2 linked regions of the Cricetulus griseus genome follow. The protein of the gene in region 2 purifies or fractionates together with the protein of the main gene of each other region. This does not show direct contact. Links are inferred from orthologs where the notes say so. Each region holds a gene or a part of one and is shown on either strand. Other genes may lie near its edges.

Region 1 (6,603 bases), on a different chromosome or scaffold from region 2:
AATATTCCTTGTTACTACTTTGGGTATTTCCATTATATCACATACACACAGCACAAACACAGAGATACCCACCCTTTTTTCTTTTATGGGAATGAATCCAGTACCTTGTTCATGCTCGATAAACACTGTCACTGAACAACAGCTCCAGTCTTAGATTTTCAGAGACAGACCTCATTATGTAGCCCAGGCTGTCCTCAAAGAATCTTGTTTTGGGCTTCTGAAGAATGCTGGGCTTACAGGAGTGTGTCATGACCCCAGCTCCATGATTTCCTTTAAAGTTTATGGTGTGCCCTTAACTAGACAGCTTTTGCCTTTCTTGTATTTAGTCTGAGACATCTGGCTGATTGTTATCTTTATAAACAGACTGGAAATGGGACATTTTTGTCATTTCCCAAATATAGGGTTAACATGACAGTAACCCCCTTCTCAAACCAGAGTCAGTGTATTTTGAAGAAAAATAAGATTGAAAAACTTCTAGGGCGCCTGGTGAATAGGGCATTGATTTCCAGCTTGGTCATGGTCTTTGTTGTTGTTTGTTTATTTGTTTGTTTGTTTTGGCTTTGGCCAGAGAGGAAGTTAGAGAAGGGAACTCAGTACACTGCTGGCTGAACACCAAACCTGCACAGCCAGCTCTCTTGGGCTACACTCAAGGTAGCGGGTGAATCTGACGAGGTTGTGCTTTGCTAAATTGCTGTAGTTAAAATGGATGTGGTGGCGCTGAGGCCTGAGGAGCGAGAATTTGAGGTCAGCCCAAACTACACAGCAAGACTTTTGTCTGAAAAAACAAACATAAAAATGGTAAGTGGGGGGGCTGGAGAGATGGCTCAGTGGTTAAGAGCACTGACTGCTCTTCCAACGGACCGTCAATTCCCAGCACCCATATGATATGGCAGGTCACAACTGTCTGTAACTCCAGTTCCAGGGGATCTGACACTCTCGATACATGCAGGCAAAATACCAATGTACACAATATAAATAAATATTTTAAAAAATGGGAAAGGGGGTTTTACATTAAGAAAATTGGTGGGCAATTAGGTACAAGGATTGAACTCCACTGTGTCTTTTTTGAAGTGCTGAGGATGGAACCTAGGGCCTTAGACGTGCTTAGTCTTTACCACTGAGCGGCTCCAGTCTCCCATTCCACTAAAAAAGCAAAACACGCCCCCACCCGGGGCGGGGGCCGAGATGGCTCAGCTGGTAAAGGCACCCGCAGAGGCCTGACCCTGAGTTCTACCTGACCACCGCAGTTCCAGCCCTATACACATAAGAGAGTGGAATAAGAGAGTTGTTCTCTGACCTCCACACATAGGCTGGAGAGGGTACATGCATAACATAGGCACACACAAGCAATAAAAATATGATTGCAAATGTGTAAGAGATATGTAGGTAAGCATACACACTGGGCAGGAGTTGGTATCACAAACACCTTTGTTCTCGTTGATAAGTAAGAAATATACCGGAAAGTATCTATACCACCCCTCAGCTCAGTCTGTCTTACTAGGTAGTTCAGGCTGGTCTGGAACTCACAGTCCTCTAATTTGTTGTCCTGCCTCCAGAGCTCTGGGATTGCAGGCATGCGTTACCACCCCAGCTGAGCCTCTATCTTCATGCATGTTCACAAAACACCCATACCCGAGACTAATCAGAATCCAAATCAGCACGCGCGGGACGTGAGCAGCATGCCCGGAGTTATGCTTATTTAATTATACCAACGTTTTGAAGTAGATCATATCATTATTCCCATTTTACACGTGAGGGGACAGAAGGCCAGAGAGGTCGGAAGGCTAAGTACTGTTCAAACCACCTCTTGAACATGAACTTGCTGTCTCCGATTCAAAGCCCAGGCTCTAGGAAAGAAACAAACTCTCAAAGTTTAGAACACGAGACAGCTCAGAGGGCTTCTCCTCGTACGGAAACTTCCCACCCTGGGGGCAACTGGAACCACAGGAAACCTGGTGTGCGCGCCTCTGCCGGGCCTGCGCGCTCCTGACCTCAGCGAAGTCGCCCAGCCAGCCCCGCGGCCCGCTGCGCGGCCTCCCGACACACGAGGGCGCTGTCGCAGCCCGGTGGGAGCGAGCCGCTGACTCGTGTCGCGAGATTGAGAAAGCCGGAAGGGCGAAAGAGCAAGGGTCACGTAGACAGCGCTCCCCGCCCAGCTCGCGTAAGTTCTCGCGCGGGTACTACTTCCGCCCTTTTGGCTCTCTCAGCAGCACCATGGCGGTCGGCAAGAATAAGCGCCTGACGAAAGGCGGCAAGAAGGGCGCCAAGAAGAAAGTGTAAGTGGCGCATTTTGCGGATCCCCGCTCTTTGGGTCCCACAGGAGTTGGCGGGCTGGTTCTGGGCTGCAGCGTGGGGCGGATGGTGAGGATGCGGGGCGGATTGCGCGGCGACGCCGCTGGCCGGTGCGCTCCAGACGGCCGCCTCTTCCCCGGCCGGGCCGGGCGTCGCGCCCGCGTGTGAGCCGGGCTTTCGTCACGTGTAGCGATCTGTGGGCTCTGGGTGACTTAATGGTCCTGGGCACTTTTAATGTCCCTTCTACATCTGGGCTCGGCAGTCGCTGGCTCCTGCGCTGGGGCCTCGTGGACCCTGCCTGGGAGCTCCCGACACTTGCTGACCGGTCCGTGCTGTCACGGAATAGTTAATGTCACAGGACCTCCAGGTTCCGAGATAGTCTGAAATGCCGCCTGTGGGGTGGAGGAGCGGGAAAGGCATGGTTTCCAGCTTACCGGTTTGTCCTGTTGACAGGCACGCCGGCCTTAGGCTCATCACGGTGAGGGGCGTCATTTTGTATTAAAGACAAGCCGGTTTAAGATTTTTTTTTTGCCGGGGACATTGTCAGCGGAAGTAAGGACGAGGAAAGTTTAAGAGTTGGCAGTGGCAGTCTTGGGATTTATTACAAAGAAGCTTGAGTCTGTTTCTCTCAAATCTAGGGTTGATCCATTTTCGAAGAAAGACTGGTATGACGTGAAAGCGCCTGCGATGTTCAATATTAGAAACATTGGGAAAACACTAGTCACGAGGACTCAAGGAACCAGTGAGTACCAATACTTGTTTTGCTTTGTCCTTAAGCTGTTGCGTGTGTATTTTAACAGGCACCTGGGCCTGCTATTTTTTTTTGTTCTGTGATGGGAAAATCTGCCCAGTGCTTGCAGATTTGGCATTTGCGGTGTGTTTGTAGCAGCAAGGAGGTGTTTTTAGAGTTAGCCAAGAAAATGTTTGGTTGGGTATTGCTGGTAAGTCATTGATGTCCAAGTGGGTTTTTGAAACAATTTAATGGGTTCTTTGGTTCTTTCGTAGAAATTGCATCTGATGGCCTCAAGGGTCGTGTGTTTGAAGTGAGCCTTGCTGATCTGCAGAATGACGAAGTTGCATTTAGAAAATTCAAGCTAATTACTGAGGATGTTCAGGGCAAAAACTGTCTGACTAACTTCCATGGCATGGATCTTACCCGGGACAAGATGTGCTCCATGGTCAAAAAGTGGCAGGTGAGACCCCCCAGACTGCATTTGAGCATGTGCAAAGATGTCATGGTGCCGGGATGGGAAGGATCAAAACATGAAATGGAGTTAGATTTTATTTCAACCCTTTGTTTTCTTGGTGTTACACATTGCCGTAAGGTTTATATACATCGGTAAAACATGACATGAAAATTGTTTTCACTTGAAGAGTGAACAATTTTATTTTCCCACTGTGTTTATATATTGTTTAGCTAGCTTCTAGAGATAAAACTGCAATCAGTTTGGTCTTTCACCCACTTCTCTGAGTTCCTTCTGAACTCCCCTGCCCTCATGGATGACAAAGTTTTAACGTGTGGCCAAGGTGCTGTTTATTCTTTGGTGCTAGAGGTAGAACCCACCGGTTTCCACATGGGCTGTCACTCTTAAACTGAGCTGTAGCCTCTTGCCAAGTGTTTTACTGATAGAAGGACGATAGGCAAGGCGGGCAGCTTTGCCAGTTGAGAGTATATTTATGGTGAAAAGGTGGCTCTAACTAATTTGACTGTCTCTGACAGTGGTGTATAACAGTGACAGGACATTGTTGTGGGGCTAAAGTCATTCAGTCTCCATATTTTGTCTTTGGAAAGTAACAAGCTTAGCAGCTCGATTCTTCATTTGTAAAATCAGCTCGTTGAGTTGTGAAGATGAAATAGCTGATGCAGGTAATTGAGCTTCAGCACAGGGTAACCATGTCATTTCAGGAGATATTATTCCGATGTATCCAGGTAACAGTATTGGCATATTACAATATGGGAATGAATGATGACAAAATGTTTCGGTCCCAAATGAAACATCCTGATTTTACCGTTACATGTTTTTCTGACATTCCCTTACAGATTATGCAATTCTGGAAGTAAAAAGTTGTTTAATACATGCAATAAATAACTTTTGCAGTGGAAGTCAAGTTTTTTTTTTTTTTTTTTTTTTTTTGGAGGCAGGGTCTTACTAGGCTGCCCAGGCTGGCCTCAAACTCACAAAGATCCACCTGTTTCTGCCCCCCTGAGTGCTACAACTGAAGATGTGTGCCACCACTCATGGCAGATACTGGGTATATTTTAAAAGTCAAGGTACATAATTTATAAAATGCAAAGAGATTAAATCATTTTGCCACTAAAATGGCCCTTTAAAAGATGGAAATGTGGCCCAATTATGGTTTTTATTTAGATTTATCTGTAGGGTTATATATTTAAATCCTTGGCATGGCTTTAGTTTGGATTTAAAGGGATTTAAAATGCTCTTATGGCAGAACTTTTTTCCTTTGGAGAAAGGATCCCTAGCCTCTTAGGTATGGTGCTTGCTATGTAGACCAAGCTGGCCTTGAACTTGTGATTTGCCTTTGTATTCTAAGCAAAGGAATTGTAGATAACGTGTCATTGTGTTACTGGAGTTTTTATTTCTTCAGACTGGCATGGAACTTGTTATGTAGACCATGATGGACTCAAACTCTTTATTAGAGATCCAACTTCTTCTGCCTCCTGCTTAGTGCTGGGATTAAAGCTACCACACACAACCTGTATTTTCTTTTTAAGAGATGAAAACATTCATGTGGTCTTATCCTGTGTGTGGTCTTCTAGTGTAACTTTCAAATTTCCATTTGGGGCCAGGGTGACTGTTGATAGGTACACTAGTAAAGGGTGTGGGTTCCAGTTGAGATGGCAGTGATGGTTTAGAAGATGGTAAGAATCTCATTTCATTTTAAGAAAAATGTGAACTAGACATTCATATTTTATGTCACATAATGGGTTTGACATTCCAAGCTTTTTTTATGTTGATTGAGGCCCTAAAAGCTATTGCAAAAGCTGATGGAGGTGGTGTGCACAGGCAGGGGAGGATAGCCAAAGCTAGGGTGAGACCCTGTCTCAGAAAAACAAACTATTGGATCTTACAGTATCATTTTCTCCCTAGACTATGATTGAAGCCCATGTGGATGTCAAGACGACTGATGGTTATTTGCTCCGTCTGTTCTGTGTTGGTTTTACTAAAAAACGCAACAACCAGATACGCAAGACCTCCTATGCACAGCACCAGCAGGTCCGCCAGATCCGCAAGAAGATGATGGAAATCATGACCCGAGAAGTACAGACAAATGACTTGAAGGAAGTGGTTAATAAGTTGTAAGTGGGTTTTATTTTTCATCCTTTAAAATTGCTGGGTTTTGGCTGAAGCTCTATTAGCGGTGGATAGTGAAACTTAGGTGTTAACTTAGAAGATATACAATAATGTATGGGAATACATGATGAGAAAATGTTTCGGTCCCAGTTGATGTATGCTGATAAGGAAACATTTTTCTGATGTTCCCATGTGGAATACAAATGAGGATGCTATGCAAATAAGGAAGACTTAGATGTTAGATATTATGGCCATCTTTAAATAGGATGACTTTAATTAAGCTGCTTTTTTTCCATGTAAAGTACTTATGTGAAAAACTTGCCTTGGTTGGTTTCTTGTTTGCTTGGTTGCTTTTTAAAAGTTTGCTGGTCTTGCAGGATTCCAGACAGCATTGGGAAAGACATAGAAAAGGCTTGCCAGTCCATTTATCCTCTTCATGATGTCTTCGTTAGAAAAGTAAAAATGCTGAAGAAACCCAAGTTTGAATGTAAGTGAGAAATCAGGATTCATGGGATGAAAATTTGTGGGGCCAAATACATGATTGTTTTTTAATGACTGATTTGTAGTAATTTGCCCGTGTGTATGTATAGGCACCATGCATATTGGCGATCTTGATCTTCTGAAGAGGCTTCAGTTCCGCTGGGACTGGAGTTAACAGGTGGTTGCAAGCTGGGTTCTAGCTCTTCTGCCAAGAACAAGTGATCTTAACCACTGAGCTACCTCTTTAGTAATTTTTTGTTTGTTTTGTTTTTGAGACAGTTTCACTGTGTAGCCTTGGCTTGCTTGGAAGTCACAGATCCATCTGTCTGCCTCCCTAGTGTTGGGATTAAAGCTGTGCCCCACCATGGCCTGGAATTAGTGTAAATTTTTAAGTGTAAGATAATGGTCTGGCCAGACGTTTGTGGCTCATGCCTTTAATCCCAGCACTTGGGAGGCAGAGGCGGGCGGATCTCTGAGTTCGAGGCCAGTCAAGTTCCAGGACAGCCTCCAAAGCCAC
Region 2 (6,848 bases):
TATATTCCGGTATCAAAACATTTTAATGGCAAAGTCTCCCAAGAAAACTTAATAGGCTCCTGTGACTGGTACCAATAAAAACAAAGCTCCTGAGAAGCCACAAAATTCCATTTACCTTCATCTCAAAACAGACTTTGCCTTTTGATACACCGTAAGATGCTCTTCCTCCAGCCCAGAGAAAAGCAAAACTCTCCATAGTAAGGGAAGAAGCACTGAGGCGGTCTCTCGATATTTTAAAATGCAGATCACAGTTATCTGAAATTATATCAAATGCCAAATTATTTTTGACACCCAATGTATTTCAGCAAAGTAGAGAAAATCTAGATGCTTTTAATCGTATTTATTACTGCTGAGAATTGTCTTTGTATCATGCGCTTGTTCCTAAACTCTCATTGGAGCCCCACTCCCACCAAGGCAGTCTTAATTATGTACTAAAACATCAACTGCCAATCGTTGAAGTTATTTAAGTATGTAATATGACTGAGACAATGCAATATCAATACATACCTGCTCTGCTCTTTACCTTGATTTAGAGGCAAGCAGTAGAGGACAGCAGGAAATCAAAGTGAAGCATGCCAGAACCAGGTAGAATTTACCAGTGACAATAACAGAAGTGAAGCCACCACCAAATATTTTGAGAGCTGCTGATCCTGTAACTTTGTAGACTAAAACCAGGGTTCCAGAACCTTAACTCACTTCTGAAAACTTGTAAGCCAGATCAACCCACAAACCTGTCAGTCTGAAGTGTTAATGTGTCTGTTTTACCACCCTGGTAAGGTATAACCACTAGGAATTAACTCCTGCCTGGATTATACAAATCCAGTCTTTAACCTAGCTATCTTTGGGTCACTAGACCTCATTATGCAGCTTCTCAGAATTCACTTGACAAAGAATATTAAATTATAAGGCTCTTGGTTTTTATTAAATGCATCTGCTGTTTGAAATTCTCCAGCTTTGTTCATAATATTCCTGACTGCTGACAGAATTAAAATTTGTGTTTAAAACAAGTAATCCTGGCGACTGGATCTTAAACTATTCTTCTGAAATAGCACTGCTAACCATTCTCTTCAATCCCGGCTAAAGCACCTTGTGAATTCCAAAATCTTTTACACTTCAGAAAAAAAAAAAAATCCAAATCAGCTGTTTTCTCCTCTCTTTCTTCAAGACTTAACTGACAGAAAGCAGCCAAGTTACATTTAACTCTCAGGACTCTGAACACAATGTGTATAAGTAAACAAGGGAATACAAGTTTTTAACCCTTTCTAACATGTGAAACCCTTTAAAACTCTTTATTCAAGCACCTTTTGTTCTGCTCACACCAAGCATTATACATCCCTATCAAATACTAAACTAACAAACTTCTTGAAAGGATCAAAATACAAATCTGACAGCTAAAGCCCATTTCATGGCTTGCAATACTTCCTCATACTCTAAAGTAGCATATTTACAGCGCTGCCATTGATACCATTCGCTGCTGAAGAAAGCTAGTGGCTCAGATAGCCCACTGCTGCTGCCCCAGGTCTTTGGAAGAAATCAACTTATGTTAGAGCAGCAGCTACTGAACTGGAATTGAGAACAAAAGAGCAGTTATTGAAAAGGTAATATGACAATCCTTAGAATAGGGAATGTACTTGTGCGCTAATGGGAAAATCGTTAGTAAGTATTCAACTAGCCCAAATAGCTCACTTAATATAGTAGCTCCACAGAAAAATTTTAATTTTCATATTACCTATCTAAGGACATGTTACAGGCAGGTTTTAAAAACAAGTTTCTGAAAGCTGAACAAAAATCGGTATTAGTTTTACATCCCTAAATATTGGGAACTTCCATGACATAAGTATCAATTAGTAGAGCTTGTAAAAACAGCAATACAACTGAAGTGTCGCTAAACATAAAACTACTGTAACCTGAACATGAGCTATTATCTTCCTGATTTAAAACAATCTAACGGGTTTTCTCCACTTTAAGATATACAAACACACTTTTCCTAAGAGTTAAACCAAAATAGCACTGCACTTAAATATTTGAGAAAAAGAGCGGGAAAGTTTGCTTCACTTACAAGTATCAAGACAAACCACTGTGTCATCGAAGTGTTCGTCTTCTTCTTCAACAGGTGGCTGAGGAGACTTGGCTCTGAAAGACAGAATCGTCTCCTGATAAAGCTTTCCCAACCACGCATAAAAACTGGGTGACAAATAAAACTAGGTTAGGATCCTCTACCTGCTGTACTTGTTTTCTTCAATGTACTCAAAATATCCTCGGCCATGATCTTCTCGCGGTCTTTTAACACCTCTCTTTTTATCTCCTCCTTTCTGTTCTGTTTTACCGTCTCCTATAACGACACAGAACACAGCCTTAAATCATCAGGCCACAGACTGAATTATAGAGAAAAGCTCCCGTTTCTGTTCCGGGACTTTTAGGGGCTGTTATTTTTTCCCTCCTAGACTGGATCTCGGACTTTTTTATTTTTGGTTTTTCCAGACAGGGTTTTTCTGTGTGGCTTTGGAGGCTGTCCTGGAACTAGCTCTTGTAGACCAGGCTGGTCTCGAACTCACAGAGATCCGCCTGCCTCTGCCTCCCGAGTGCTGGGGAAAAAGGCGTATGGCACCAACGCCAGGCGAGTTCTGAGACTTTTTAACCCACGAAACTAATATGAATCTAGAAAAAATCGTATCCATCAGCCTGGAACTGCACTGGAGACGGTGACGCAGTCTAAAGACGCTGCTAATCCTGCCAGCCTAGGGTAACCTTCCGGAATGCATTTAAGGACTAAAACCGCGCGCCCGCCGTCCGGGCCCACGTGCTGCGCGCCGTGCGCGCGGCGGCGGCGGGGGGTGTGGGGGGGAGGGCAGGGCAGCGTGGGCCCGCCTCCCCTCCCCCATCCGAGCCCGCGTGCCCCGCCGCCGCATTGTACTGAGCTTCCGCCTCACTCCCCGCGCCCGGCGCCTCCCGCCGGAAGTGACGTCACACCGAGCCCCTGCGCTCCTTGCACAATACCGCGGCGCTGAGCCGCCAAAGCCCGCCCGCCCCGGGACCTTCCCCCTCCCCCCAGACATGTGCCCGAACCGCGCGCACGCAGCGCTCCAGCGGCCGCCGCTCCCGCCCGGCTCCTCCCCCACCGCGGCAGCTGCAGCTCCCCCCGGCGCCCGACACACATAATGGAGGAGGCGCCGCCGGCATGGCGAGCCCATCCTCTCGGCGGCCCCGGGGCTCCCCCGCCCCCCCCGCCCGCCCGCGTCGCTCGCCCCTGGGGCCCCGGCCGGCCTGGGGCACGGTCCCCACGCGGGCCTACAAGCCGCGCGCCCGCCCGCCCACCACGCAGCCCTCACCCGCCGCCTTCCGCCTTCCTACCTCCGGCCTGCGGCTGGCCCTGCCTCGCCCCGGGCGGCGCCACCGTCACCGCGAAGAGCGAGGTGGGGCCGCTGCTCTTGCCCGCGGCCTCCTTGCCGGCCCCGCGCTGCTGCGGGGTCTGCGGGGCCGCCGCCGGCGGTTGGGACTGCTGCTCCCCGTGGCCGTTCTCGTCGCCCGCGCCCTCCTCCTCGTCGCCGAGCTCGTCCTCCCCCTCCTGGAAGCCCTGGTCGTCGCCGTTCTCGTCTTCCGACGCCGCCTCCTCCTCCTCCATCGCGCCCGCGTCAGCCGCCCCCGCCGCCCCGTTCTCCTCGCCCAGCTCCATCTGGTCGCCGTCCAGGGCGGCGATGCCTTCCTCCTCCTCGTCGTCTTCGGCGCCGGTCGCGGCCTCCTGCTCGAGGCCCGTCCCCGAGCGCCCGGCCGCATCGCCGCCCAGGTCGAGGCTGCCGTTCCCGGGCTCCATGGCGGGGCGGCCGCCGGCCTCGTTGTCCAGCGCGGCCTGGAGTCGATCCATGAGATCGGCCTTGAGGCCCTTGTCGGAGAGGCGCCGCTTCTTGAGCTCCTCCTTCAGCTCCGACACCTTCAGCTTCTTGACATTAACAGGCGAAGAACTCATGGTGAGGGCCCCGGTTCACCGCGGACTGCTGGCTCCCTCGGCCTGTGGCGGCGGCTGCTGGTCGGCCCGGGCGGCGGCTGCGGCTGGAGATGGCTGAGTGCTGCAGAGCGGACCCGCCTGGTGTCGAACGGCGCCAATTCCTTTCACCGAGTTCGCGAGGCAAGACGCGGAGACTCGCCTGGCGCGAGCGAGCACGCAACGTCCTCTCGCCGGGGCGGCGCCGCGCACGTAATATAGGCGCCCCGCCCCCTGCCGGGGCGGGGCTCGCTAGGGCGGCTGCGCGCGCAGGCCCCGCCCCTTCCCCGCCCCGCCCCCACGGGGCGACCTCGGCGCTGGGCCCCGGCGCGCAAATGGAGGCTCAGGAAGCCGCCTTTCGGTTAAACCGACTGGCCGCGGCGGCCGCCGGCCTTTCCGGCTTCTCGGCGGCCGCGCTCCACGGGCCGTCCGCCTCCGTGGGCCCGGAGGAGGCTCCCCTGCACCCGCCCTGCGTCCTCATCTGGCATTTCCCGCTGGAGGACACCCTCCTTTCTTCCATCTTAGTTTGTCTTTTTTTTTGTCTGTCCCTCCGGCTCTCGCTTTAAGACTCCGCCAAGTTTCCGCTGCTGCTCCGCAGAGCACAAATAAGCGGCTGTTAGACAGAGGTGGTTTTTTGTTTTGTGTTTTGTTTTTTTCTTCCTCCACTTCATTGCAGTTTAATTTTTTACAAGCCCTGCCTTGCCGATCGGACTTTTTAAGTTCCGCAAGGGCGAGGCCCCAGCGTTTCTTTTGTCTCTTCCATACCCGGTGGTGCAAGGCCTGGGGAGGCGCAGGCTTGCCCTACCGCTCCGTGCCGCACGGCATGCAGTGTGGGCCTTGTGCACTTCTCACCGTCTTTACTAGTGACCCTTGAGTAACCCCTAGAATTGCATGGAAGATTCCCCTAGACTCACTGTAAAGACAGGCCTCTTGCAGGAAGGACTTCCCTTAGTTAACCATGAGAGGGACATCCAGCTAAATTTTAATGCACTTTGATTCTCCCCGTTTTTTCAGACACACACTGAGTTGTCTACACACTTGCAGTCCTATCTCTTGGCAGACTGAGGCAGAAGTATCAAGAGTTGAAAGCCAGCCAGGGCTACATAGTAAAGTCCAGGCCGCCTTGGGCTGTATAGTCAGACAGACCCCATCTCAAACAAACAAACAAAAAATTGTTGCTATTTTTCTCTGTAATTAAAAACATGTTATGTTCTTGAAACTTTTAGGTAGAAATAGAATTTATTTTCTGCACGGGCCATTCTGTGTAGATTGTGCCTAATAGGTGTGTTTATACAGGTCTATAATTACAACCCTTGGGAGATGCAGGCAAGAAGATCAAGAATTCAGTCAGCCAGGCAGTGGTGGCACACACCTTTAATCCTAGCACCAGGGAGGCAGAGGCAGGCAGATCTCCCAGCTCCAAATATCCTGGTGTACAGAGCTATTTCCAGGACAGCCAAGGCTAAATAAAGATGCCTTGTCTCAAAAAACCAAAAAGGTTGTGTGTGTGTGTGTGTCATCTTTGGCTACATAAAGAATTTAAAGCTAATCTGGGCTACCTGAGACCCTGTTTCTACAAAACCAAGTACTCTGGCAGTAAAGCTATGGTTGGCCCTGTCTTCTTTCTGTGCATCTGAAACTTGAAAGCATAGAAATGAAGTTTATCCTATTTGGCTAATATAACTTAACCTGTTAATAAAATGATTCCTTTGGTTGATTAGTTTTGTTTTTGTTTTTTTTTTTTTTTTTTTCTTCTTGAGACAGAGTCTCTAATTAGCCCCGGCTGTCCTAGAGCTCAATATATAGATCAGGCTAAGATCCTCCAGCCTTTTCCTCCTGGGATTAAAGGTATTCACCACCACACCCTGATGAAATCATTTTAAAAAGCATTTTATCTTACTCCTGAGTCATGAGCCAATAGGAATTAGTATCTGTGGAAATCAATGAACTAGTACAGTCTGGTAATTCTCAGTTAGTGGAGGTGGTGGAGCAGCCCTCAAATTTAATGTCTTTTTGTTTTGTTTTTTTCCAGACAGGGTTTCACTGTGGCTTTGGAGCCTGTCCTGGAACTAGCTCTTGTAGACCATGCTGGTCTCGAACTCACAGAGCTCCGCCTGCCTCTGCTTCCAGAGTGCTGGGATTAAAGGCGTGTGCCACCACTGCCCGGCAAAAATTAATGTCTCTTAAGCTTATAAATAAACCACAAGCTAGAATTTAAAACTCTGGTTCAAGCCAGGTGGTGGTGGCACACACCTTTAGTCCCAACACTCTGGAGACGGAGTCAGGTGGATCTCTGTGAGTTGAAACCAGCCTGGTCTACAAGAGTTAGTTCCAGGTCAGCCTCCAAAGCCACAGAGAAACCCTGTCTCAAAAAACCAAAAAATAAAATAAAATAAAATAAAACTCTGGTTCAAAAATGGAAGATAACTATAGGGGGTACAAGTTCATAAACTAGATTATTAGTTCCTTAATTAGGAAGCATACAATTTTATTAATGTGGTTCTATGTACTCTCAGATATTTACTCTAAGAAATCTGTCTGCCTCTGCCTCCTTGAGTACTGGGATCAAAGGCGTGGGCCATCACCACCAGGCAGATACTTAATTTTTAAATGTCAGTGACATGTAAACAATCTCCATCTAACTCAGTGAAACATTAAATTGCAGCTGGATGTGGTCTTGGACACATTTAATCCCAGTACTCAGGAGGCAGAGGCCAACAGATCTCAGTAAGTTTGAAGCCATCCAGGGCTACATAGCTACAAAACCCCACCAAACTAAGAAAGTTTATATGGCTAATAAGACCAGATTTATTTATAACAACTATTCTTAGAACAGTGTTGGTGTCAGTAATGAATGTGAAATACAATT

What was found. Proteins that work in one complex are often made in the same cells at the same time.
Region 1: the proteins of Hnrnpu (region 2) and Rps3a fractionate together in Homo sapiens (co-fractionation; 3 studies listed by BioGRID and IntAct, with this or other methods). This does not show direct contact. The link is inferred for Cricetulus griseus from reciprocal best matches to the Homo sapiens genes HNRNPU and RPS3A.

The regions. Positions count from the first base shown.
Region 1 is NW_023276806.1:68,277,246-68,283,848, forward strand, and holds the start of Rps3a (40S ribosomal protein S3a), read left to right. Parts: upstream 1-2,118; 5' UTR 2,119-2,214; coding exon 2,215-2,276; intron 2,277-2,930; coding exon 2,931-3,034; intron 3,035-3,297; coding exon 3,298-3,485; intron 3,486-4,251; exon of another isoform or gene 4,252-4,324; intron 4,325-5,402; coding exon 5,403-5,611; intron 5,612-5,725; exon of another isoform or gene 5,726-5,793; intron 5,794-5,983; coding exon 5,984-6,093; intron 6,094-6,603.
Region 2 is NC_048598.1:15,816,363-15,823,210, reverse strand, and holds the start of Hnrnpu (heterogeneous nuclear ribonucleoprotein U), read right to left. Parts: upstream 4,175-6,848; 5' UTR 3,965-4,174; coding exon 3,352-3,964; intron 2,333-3,351; coding exon 2,221-2,332; intron 2,134-2,220; coding exon 2,060-2,133; intron 256-2,059; coding exon 116-255; intron 1-115. UniProt on the Homo sapiens protein: DNA- and RNA-binding protein involved in several cellular processes such as nuclear chromatin organization, telomere-length regulation, transcription, mRNA alternative splicing and stability, Xist-mediated transcriptional silencing and mitotic cell progression.